Linked DNA regions of Oryctolagus cuniculus. The protein of the gene in region 1 binds, or shares a complex with, the protein of each later gene. Links are inferred from orthologs where the notes say so. Each region holds a gene or a part of one and is shown on either strand. Other genes may lie near its edges. The genes, in order: GABARAPL1 and STBD1.

Region 1 (4,356 bases):
GAAAGGCTTTGCCCCAGGGCACAGTGGGTGCTCCTGAAGCTCAGGCCTGGAAGCAGGTCTCTGAATTTCCAGGGCAGAACTCTTCTTCCTGCGTCACAGCTAGGAAAGGGTCCAGAGGCCGGGCACCCAGTGAGTGGCTGGGAGGGAGGCTCACAGCTGGTTAAACCCTAACTGGTGGAGCCCTGGCATCCCAGGGGTGGTCTGAATGGCTTACTAGTTATCAGAAAGTAAGACATCCAACTCCAAACTGTAAGCACAGAAAGAACAAGAAGGATAAGCTGAAATATCCTGGGGGGCAGGGGGATGCACAGAAAGGGCTGAAAAGGGAAGCGCTGTTTTGAGAAAATACAGGAGAATGCTAACTAGGAGCAGGTGCATCTATATAAAGCTACCTGAACCTAGGCTCCCAGTCATTCTGCTTACTGCGTGCCCTGTCTGGCACCAGACTACCCTATGAATTCTTGAGGGTAGCAACAGTACATTTCCACTACTCAGCAGTGTGAGGTGCACAATGCCAGAACTGTATTAGAAATTAAACCAAACAGCACGGGAGGTTAAGGGCCAGAGTTGGAATCCAGGCTGTGCCATAGACTCGCAAGGTCAAGTCTTTAGGGAGTGACTTCATCTCTCTATGGTTCCAGTCTTCATCTATAGAGTGAGGATTGCAATGTGAGGATTAAGTGAATGACATTAGAGCCCTGAGAACGCGGCCTGCTGTGTGTAAGTCAGCAGTGAAAGCTAGCTGCCGTTTTTAAACCTCATTCCTCCAGAATCGCTAGATCTGGGAGAAACATTTACAACAAGCACCCTAGGTCCAGGAAGAGGCAGGTTCACACAGGGCGCTGGGTAACGATTAGCTCCCCTTTGTAGCCCAAAGCCACTGTGTACAAAATAGCTGAGGAATGGCAGGGCCAGAGAGTTTCCATTGCGGGGCTAGAGCCCAGATTGCTTCTGGCTGCAGTAAGAACATGAGAGTTACGGAAGAATTGGAGAATTCCCAAATAGTCCGTGTGAGTCAGGAGAGGCCACATCACATAATGGCAACTCTTGACATCTTATCCCACTTATCCTTATCCCACCGTCCCTGTCTGAAGATGGAAATAATCACAAACTCTGCGCCCCCATCTCCAAACACCCAAGGGCTGCAGCCCCTGGCCCGCGCACCCAAGTCATCCTGGGCTACGCAGCCTGCATTAGACAAGAGCCGGGCAAGTGGGCGGGGGAGGGGGCAACGGGAAAAACGCCCGGATGCTGAGAGATGGCTTCATGTTTCTTCCTCCTCGCTCCTGGCACCAGCTTTAGCGACGTGAGCCAGTGTCCAAATCCGAAAGAAAAAGTCCTCAGTCCCGCCTTATGGTGTCAGGCCCCATCGGATCACAATCAGCTCCAAGGGCAGGCCGGCCGCTCCCCGCCCCCCACGGGCCCCCGGGGCCGGGAACGCTGAGGCAGGCGGCTGTTGCGCAGAGAACGTGACCTTGCTTTCTGGGCCAGGCCCGTCTCGTGGCGTCCCCAGCCCTCCCCTCCCTAATTCTAAGAGAAATCAAGAAAGAACCTCCCAGGCCCAGAGCTCAGGAGGGCCAAAGCCAACTTGGGTAATTAAAGGCGAAGCATCCTCAGAGGCAAACCCCAAGGCATCAGTGGCTCCCATCACAATTCCGCTGCGTGCTTAACAGCGGCACGTCCACGGCCCGCATCCACACGCCCACACCGCGGGCAGACAAGCCCCACCGCGGGCCCACCTGCACCTGCACCTGCACCTGCACCTGCTCGAGCCCTCCATACTGCTGAGTCACCGCAGACAGGGGCTCTGCCGCCAGGAACCAGCGGCCTCCGCTAGGGCCGCGAGCCCCCCCCATCCCACCCCAGATCCGCAGGCCGAACGGCCCCGGGCGGGCGAGGCTCGCGGAGCCCCCTCTGCGCCGCAGGGCTGCCAGCCCGCCGCCCCGCACCCACGGGCCCCGACCCCCTCCATCCTCCCCGCCCCCACGACACTCACAGGGACCCTGTCCGGATACTTCTTCCGGATCTTTTCTCCTTCCTTTTTCCGATACTCAAAGGGATGGTCCTCCTTATACTGGAACTTCATGATGCACCGCAGGTTTTCCGAGACGCCCGGACGGGGCCTGCCTCCCTCGCGGACGATTGCGTCTCTCGCGCTTCGCTGCCCTCCGCCAACTTCTGGGGGTACCAGGATCGCTTCGGAAGCGTCCGCGCCCTCTGCCACGCCGCCTGGCCCAGCGCTCAGGACGGGCACCTCGGGGCCCCGGCCTGCAGGTGGGAAGCGGCCAGGTGAAGAGACCCGGGCGGCTGTGCCCAAGCGCAGGGAACACAAAAACACCCCAGCGGCGCGCAGGGGTTGTGACGTCACGAAGCCGCGCCCAGGCCCTCAGGCCCCGCCCCCGGCCCCGCCCCCGGCGCTCCGGACTCGGCGGAACCGAGGTGAACAGAAACCTTGTTTGTTTTTATTTATTTTGACCCTGCCTGATTTTTTTTTCCCGAGTGGAGCCCACTGCAAACCTGAAAGCGTTATACTTGGTATTCTACTGCGATTTGATATGAAAAACGGTTTTTAGTTAAGACAACGGGCTAAAGATGTCTCCATCCCCCTCCTTGGCGTCTCTTGGTTGGGACCCAAAACAAATACAAAGGGCTGCCCTCCAGCCTGGTCCCCCCTGCCTGGGACCGGGAGCCTGCGTGGGCCGGGGTCCCGCGCCTCCTGGGATGCCTTTTGCCCCTGCGGAAGGGGCGCGGAGTTGCGTTTTGCCCTCTGCGGGCTCCGCAGCCTTCCCGCTCCGCGTCGTCGGCGTCGTCCTGTTTTGGTCCCCGCCGCAGTCCGTCCTCAGAATGGCAGCGTCGGTCAGCAGGGCGTGACTCGGGCCCCAGTGCGGGGAGGTGGTGTTGGTGAGGGCTCCGAGGACTTCACGCTCGCGAACGGCTCGCTTTCCCCTGGGACCCCGGGAGCTGGGCCTCGTGGAGCCGTGGAGGCCCCTCACTCGGTGGAGCTCAGATGTTTGGGTTGTTGTTGTTTTTCTTTAATTCTGCAAAACCGCACGTGGAAAATAGATGCGCGGGGTACAATCGGCCCGGCGCGTGAACGGAAGGCACTGCCTCAGGTACCGGGTGCCATGAGGCATCTCTTGCCTCACGACCTCGGGACCCAAGACCTGCCCAGCCCTGCTCTGGCCGGGGATCCCTGGAGTCTGTAGGGAGAGGGCGGCAGAGATCGCAAAGAAGAGAGGGGAAGGGTTCCCTTGTGTTCCAGTCTGTGAGTTCTGAAAACTATTAGACAAGGGCTATCAGCGTCGCCTTCAAAAATCCCACAAAATGAAACTTTCATTATCGAAACAAGAAAACGAATTTCATAGTCCCGTTGGTCCCGTTGGTCTTGTTAATTCCTTTTTCCCATGGCATTTGTCAACTTTTTTTTAAAGATTTATTCAAAAAGCAAAGTGACAGAGGGAGAGAGAAAGAGCTTCTGCCTGCTGGTTCACTCCCAAATGGCCACACCAGCCCCGTCTGGGCCAAACCAAAGTCTGGAGCCAATAATTCCATCCAGGGGCCAGCGCTGTTGCGCAGCGGGTTAACACCCTGCCCCACAGTGCGCCAGCATCCCATATGGCCGCAGGTTTAAGACCCGGCTGTGGCACTTCCAATCCAGCTCTCTGCTAAGGCCTGGGAAAGTAGTAGAAGATGGTCCAAGTCCTTGGGCCCCTACACCCATGTGGGAGACCCGGAGGAAACTCCTGGCTCCTGGCTTGGGATCGGCACAGCTCCGGCCGTTGTAACCAATTAGGGAGTGAACCAGTGCATGGAAGACCTCTCTCACTCTCTGCTTCTCCGCTCTCTGATTCCATCCAGGTCTCCCTCTTGGATGACAGAGGCCCAAGAACTTGGGCAGGAAACGGGAAGGAAAGCAGAGCAGCCAGGACTCAAACCACTGCTCTGTTGGAGGGTGCCGGTATGGCAAGCTGCAGCTTAATAAGCCTCTGCCACAGTGGTAGCCTCTGTTCTTTTGTTAATATATGAAAATCCTCATATCATTTTATCACATTGTATATAATTTCCAGCCCTTATTTTCAAGTTGCAATTAGTTTAATTGCCACTCATTCATTTTAGCTTTGACTCAAACCTAGGTAAATCTTTTAGAGGACTGCTTTACATCCAGTTGAGAAAGGTAATTATGGTGGCAATTAAAATGCTAAGAGTGTTGTTGGGAACAATCGTAGCTAGTTGAAATGCTGATTTTAACCTTTATTTTAAAAATATCCAAGCACAAAGGCAACTTATACAATATGTAAAAACTAATTTGGAGATGAAATTTTGGTTAATCTTTCTGCCACAACTTTTCTAAAGGCC
Region 2 (4,346 bases), on another chromosome or scaffold:
ACCGTATCTGCCGGCAGGCAAACAGAATGAGACCAGAAGCCGTCCTTGTTACGGTGGAGTGGGATGTACGTGTTCCAGCTCCCAAGACGCTCGTGGTCTCCGGTTACTGCAATGAACGCCACGTCGGTGCCCGTCACATAATGGACCTGGAACCTGACGCTAACTTGCCGGGACTCTGCAGACTTGGCCGCTGCCCATCCTGGTTTCCCATCCACTTCTCGACCCCTTGCTTCCACAAGAAAGTTTCTGGCACCGTCCATTCCCTGTTTTAGGCTACCACCCAAGCCAGCATCCCCCCAGGAGGAGTGCCTAGACACCCCCTGGCTGTCCGGTTGTGCGAGGCCCACTTCTTGGGCCCTGTCCACCCGCGGCCTGCTAGAAGGCAGTTCCTCTCCGGCCCCAGCCAGTGCCTCTCGTCCTTTTTGGAGTCCCCATTCCCCTCTGGGAGACTCCAGACTTTCACTTCTGGACGCTTCAGAGGAACTTCTGGAGTGAGCGCTTGCAGAACTGGCCGGGGCTCCCGCATCTGCCACGTGCCCAGAAGGGCTGTGCTCTCTGGCATCTCTGCTAGGGTTCTGCAGTGGCCGGGCTGCTTCCTGCAGCTTCCCAAGGTCTTTGGTCTCAGAAATCAAGCGTCCATTGCTTTCTTGAGGATGCTCTAAGAAACAAAAAGAATGTAGCAGTGTTAGCTCATGGAGAAGAGACTGTCACTGCAGGCGTTACTCCTATCTGCAGTTCTCAGAATTCCTGCTTAATGAAATCCGGTACTTAATGCCCCTGTATAATCCCAACTCTAAGAATCCGCATGCATGCCCCACACTAAAATGCACCCACAGGAGTGTCAGTGCACCAGCCCTAAAGTGTAAATGAAGTGGCAAGCTGTAAAGACAGAAGTGTAACCCTGCCGTGGTCCTCAGTCTCCCACAGTACAGGCCATGATGGCATTCAGCCAAGTCCCAGTGCTTGGCTCCGATCATCAAAACGTGTCACGTAGAGACAGGTGTTCAAAGACACCCACCTCTCAGGTCTGAGCACCTGACTCCAGCTTCCTGCTGATGCAGAGCCTGGGAGGCAATGGTGATGGCTCAAGTGCTTGGGTCCTTGCCCCTCAGAGGGGAGACCGGAACAGGGCTCCCAGCTCCCAGCTTTGCCCACCCCACCTGCACCTCGTGGGCATATAGGGAGTGAGCCATAGTACAGGAGCTGTCTCTGCCAGTTTCCCTTTTTCAAATAAGATTTTAGAAGCTTCTTTGAAAAAAAAAAAAAAAGTCCAGCGGGGGCGGGGCAAAACGCTGCACAACACCCGGACACATTAGAATGTACGTGTCCTCCCAGGGGTAGCACGGGTCTGCTGTCACAGACGGCAGGGGCAGGGGTGGGGGATACGGTGCATCCTGGGGGACGGCATCAGGAACCCCAACACACCAGGGCCTTGTGTCCCCTCCACTGTACACGCTGTGGATGTTCTTAGGCCCCTTCAGACCCAGCTCTCCCCTAGACGGCCTCATTGGCAATCCAAAGAGCCCCCTGCAAGGTAGCAAATTCCAGAATCATACAGTCAGGGAGAGTAGTCTTGTTTTATTTCGTCCCTGTTCAATGGTGGGGCTAGTGGGGACACAAGAGCAAATGGTACTCAGAATTCCCAATTTTTCAACCTAAAACATGAGGCTGGCCTCTCTCCTCATCACAACCAGGGCTGAGAGGCGCAAGGGCCGGTCTCCACCAGGCGACACGGGAACGCACTCCTCTGGAAGGAAGCTCGCAGGTGTCACTTCACCATGAGGCTGCAGTCCCGGCCGGGCAGCTCGCCAGGGACGGCTCTGGAAAGCGAGGCTTTCCGCCAGCGCTCCCTCCTTGCCCAGCCTGCGGTCTTCTGAAATGCGGCCGTGTCACCCTAAATGTCAATTGACTGCACGGAGTCCCCCCCTTAAGGAGTGGCTTCCCAGGGGGTGAAGCCCCCTGCGCTGCTGAGCGAGCAGGGAGCGCGCCCATGCTTCTGAATTGGGCGCCTGCACGGCCAAAGTCCACCCTGAACTTTGCTGGCCCCAGAGAAGCGTCCAGAGAACAGGAGGCGCTCACAGCACGGGTGTTCCCAAACCCAGCCCTCCCGGGGGAAGCGGGATCGGAGCAAGCGAGGCTGCGGGGCTGGGACTGAGAAAACGTCCCTGCTCGGACAGAGGCTGGTGGGGCCCCCTAAGCTCCCACCGGCCTCTCTCGAGGCCAGGGAAGGGGCGCCGCGGCTGCAACCGCCCGCACTGCGCCAAGCGGGCCAGCTGGAGGGGCAGGAGCGCCGAGGCCGGCGGGGCGCGGCCCTGGGAGCTTCGGCCGGGGCGTCTCCAAGGCCTCCTTGGAGCGCTGGAACCTGGCGGGGCGCGGGAAGGGTCCAGCTCGTGGGTGGGGTCGGGCCGCCAGGAAAGCGCCAGGTGGGCTTCTTAAATGCCCTGCCCCACCCAGGCCAAGTTCAAAGCCCCCGCAGAGTTGCTCTCCAGGTCCGGGCGGGACGAATACCTGGTTTGGTGCCCAGCTTGGAGGGGCTCCGTCCGCCGCCGCCTCCCTGCCCTTCTCCGCGAGTCGCAGCCTCCCCGGCAGAGGCGTCTTTCTGCTCCGCGTCCTCGGGGCCGCCCCGCAGCAGCCACACGAAAAGCGCCCCGGCCAGACCTCCTCCGACCAGCAGGGCGGACCAGACAGCGCCCATGGCTGCGGGAGACGACGGGCGGCGGCCGGCCCCGGGCGCAGGTCTCGAAGGCAGGGCCACACCTACCCTGGCCGCCCCGGCCTTTTACGGCTCCTCGCCGGCCCTCCGGCGCCCAGCCCAGCCCTCGGCGACTCGCGCTCAACTTTCCGCGCCCCGCCCACTGCCCGCCCCACTCCGCCGCCGCCGCGGGTTCCGGCCCGGCGGGGACGCGAGCGCGCCGCCCCGCGTGTGCACGACGACCACGCGCAGCCGGGCCCTGCCACGGGCCGGCCCCCGCAGGTGGGCGCCGCCTCCCCCGTGCGTGGGAGGCCGGGAACCCCCGGGGGACCCCGCTACCTGCGCTGGGCCTCCCCGGCCTCCGCCTCGCCCCGCTGCCCGACTGGACCGGACCGGACGGGCCGTGGGCCGTTCGGGCTGCAAAAGCCAGTCCTCTCAGCCTCATTCAGGCCTGGCTTCCGCCTCGGCCTCTGTGTGGCCTGCGGGAGCTGCCATGGCTGTGCCCACGGGGCTGAGCTGGCTGTAGACCAGGTTCAAGCGCGAACCAACGAGATGAATGAAAAGAGCCACCCTTTGTGAGGGTTCGTGCGCATTCACGTTGTTCCTCGCACAGCCACAACGTGTTGATAAAGACACTCCTGGGGACCACAGGGAGGAAACGGAGAAACACGTGGGCGGTAGCCCTCCAGGAGCCCCGAAGGAGGACGAGGAGGGAGACGCACGCAGCATCATCCTCCGATGCTGCATCTACCCGACGTCCTGCCCGCCACCGGCCTGCCCAGCGCACGCCTCTAACTTCACTAATAAGGAGTCCATCTTAGGCCATTGCTGATTGGTTCTGCGCATGCGCCTCCCTTCCCTATGGTGCATGAGCGCCATGTTAGGCCACTGCTGATTGGTTCCTGGCCGAACCAATCACATTCAGGCTTCGATGACTCCCTGATTGGGTCACCTAGAATACCGCATTAGCATATAGCTCAACTAATCATGTGAACTTCCTCCTTCAGAACCTCGTTAAACAGGAACCAGGCCGGCCTGAGAGGGGACTGAGGGTACGGAGGCCTTCTGGGCGGTAGTTTGGGGCAGGTTGCCCCTTCTCGCCGGGCGGGGCCTGGAGCCGGAGACCTTCCTTTGCTTTCTTCAGTAAACATGCCTTGCTGGGCTCACTGCTTGCTTGTCCTTGTAGCTCATTCTTCATGGTCACGAGACACACAGCAACGCTCCCTGAGGAGTCAGGCAGAGAGGGGGCACCGAGACCGTGCGGCCTCGCGGTTGGTAGAGGGTCTGGCGAAGAAAGACCCTGCCGCGTTTCGTGGCGACGAGCCGAAGCGCCAGGCAACTAAAGGGGCAGCCTGCGCCTGCCGCGCTGCGAGCTGAGAAGTGTCCACATTTCCATCCGAACTCACTCCTGGCGTCCAGAAGGCATCGCCCCGACCTGGAACCGCAGATCCCCGGGTTCTGCTCTGCAGCCCTGCCTGCCATTGCGCCTGACCTCCCACATCCCGCCGCCGGAGCCTCACCTGGCAAAGCCGCGCCCCCGGGGGGGTGGTCGCTTTAAGGCCCCCGCTGGTGGGGCAAGTCATCCTCCTGGACCCCTGGGAGGGGGTCAGAGACCCACACAGGCCTCTGCTCAGTGCCTGCCAGCGCCTCTGGA

The links.
Region 2: the proteins of GABARAPL1 (region 1) and STBD1 are in contact, whole or in part, in a crystal structure (PDB 8X8A), measured with the Homo sapiens proteins. The link is inferred for Oryctolagus cuniculus from reciprocal best matches to the Homo sapiens genes GABARAPL1 and STBD1. Residues at the interface, in NP_113600.1 of Homo sapiens: Glu17, Ile21, Tyr25, Asp27, Arg28, Pro30, Val31, Ile32, Lys46, Lys48, Tyr49, Leu50, Val51, Pro52, Asp54, Leu55, Gly58, Gln59, Phe62, Leu63, Arg67, Phe104; in NP_003934.1 of Homo sapiens: Glu201, Glu202, Trp203, Glu204, Met205, Val206, Pro207, Arg208, His209, Ser210, Gly213.

What each region holds. Positions count from the first base shown.
Region 1 is NC_091440.1:106,915,234-106,919,589, reverse strand, and holds the start of GABARAPL1 (gamma-aminobutyric acid receptor-associated protein-like 1), read right to left. Parts: upstream 3,032-4,356; 5' UTR 2,087-3,031; coding exon 1,997-2,086; intron 1-1,996. UniProt on the Homo sapiens protein: Ubiquitin-like modifier that increases cell-surface expression of kappa-type opioid receptor through facilitating anterograde intracellular trafficking of the receptor. Involved in formation of autophagosomal vacuoles.
Region 2 is NC_091439.1:89,583,382-89,587,727, forward strand, and holds the start of STBD1 (starch-binding domain-containing protein 1), read right to left. Parts: upstream 2,857-4,346; 5' UTR 2,696-2,856; coding exon 2,509-2,695; intron 659-2,508; coding exon 1-658. UniProt on the Homo sapiens protein: Acts as a cargo receptor for glycogen. Delivers its cargo to an autophagic pathway called glycophagy, resulting in the transport of glycogen to lysosomes.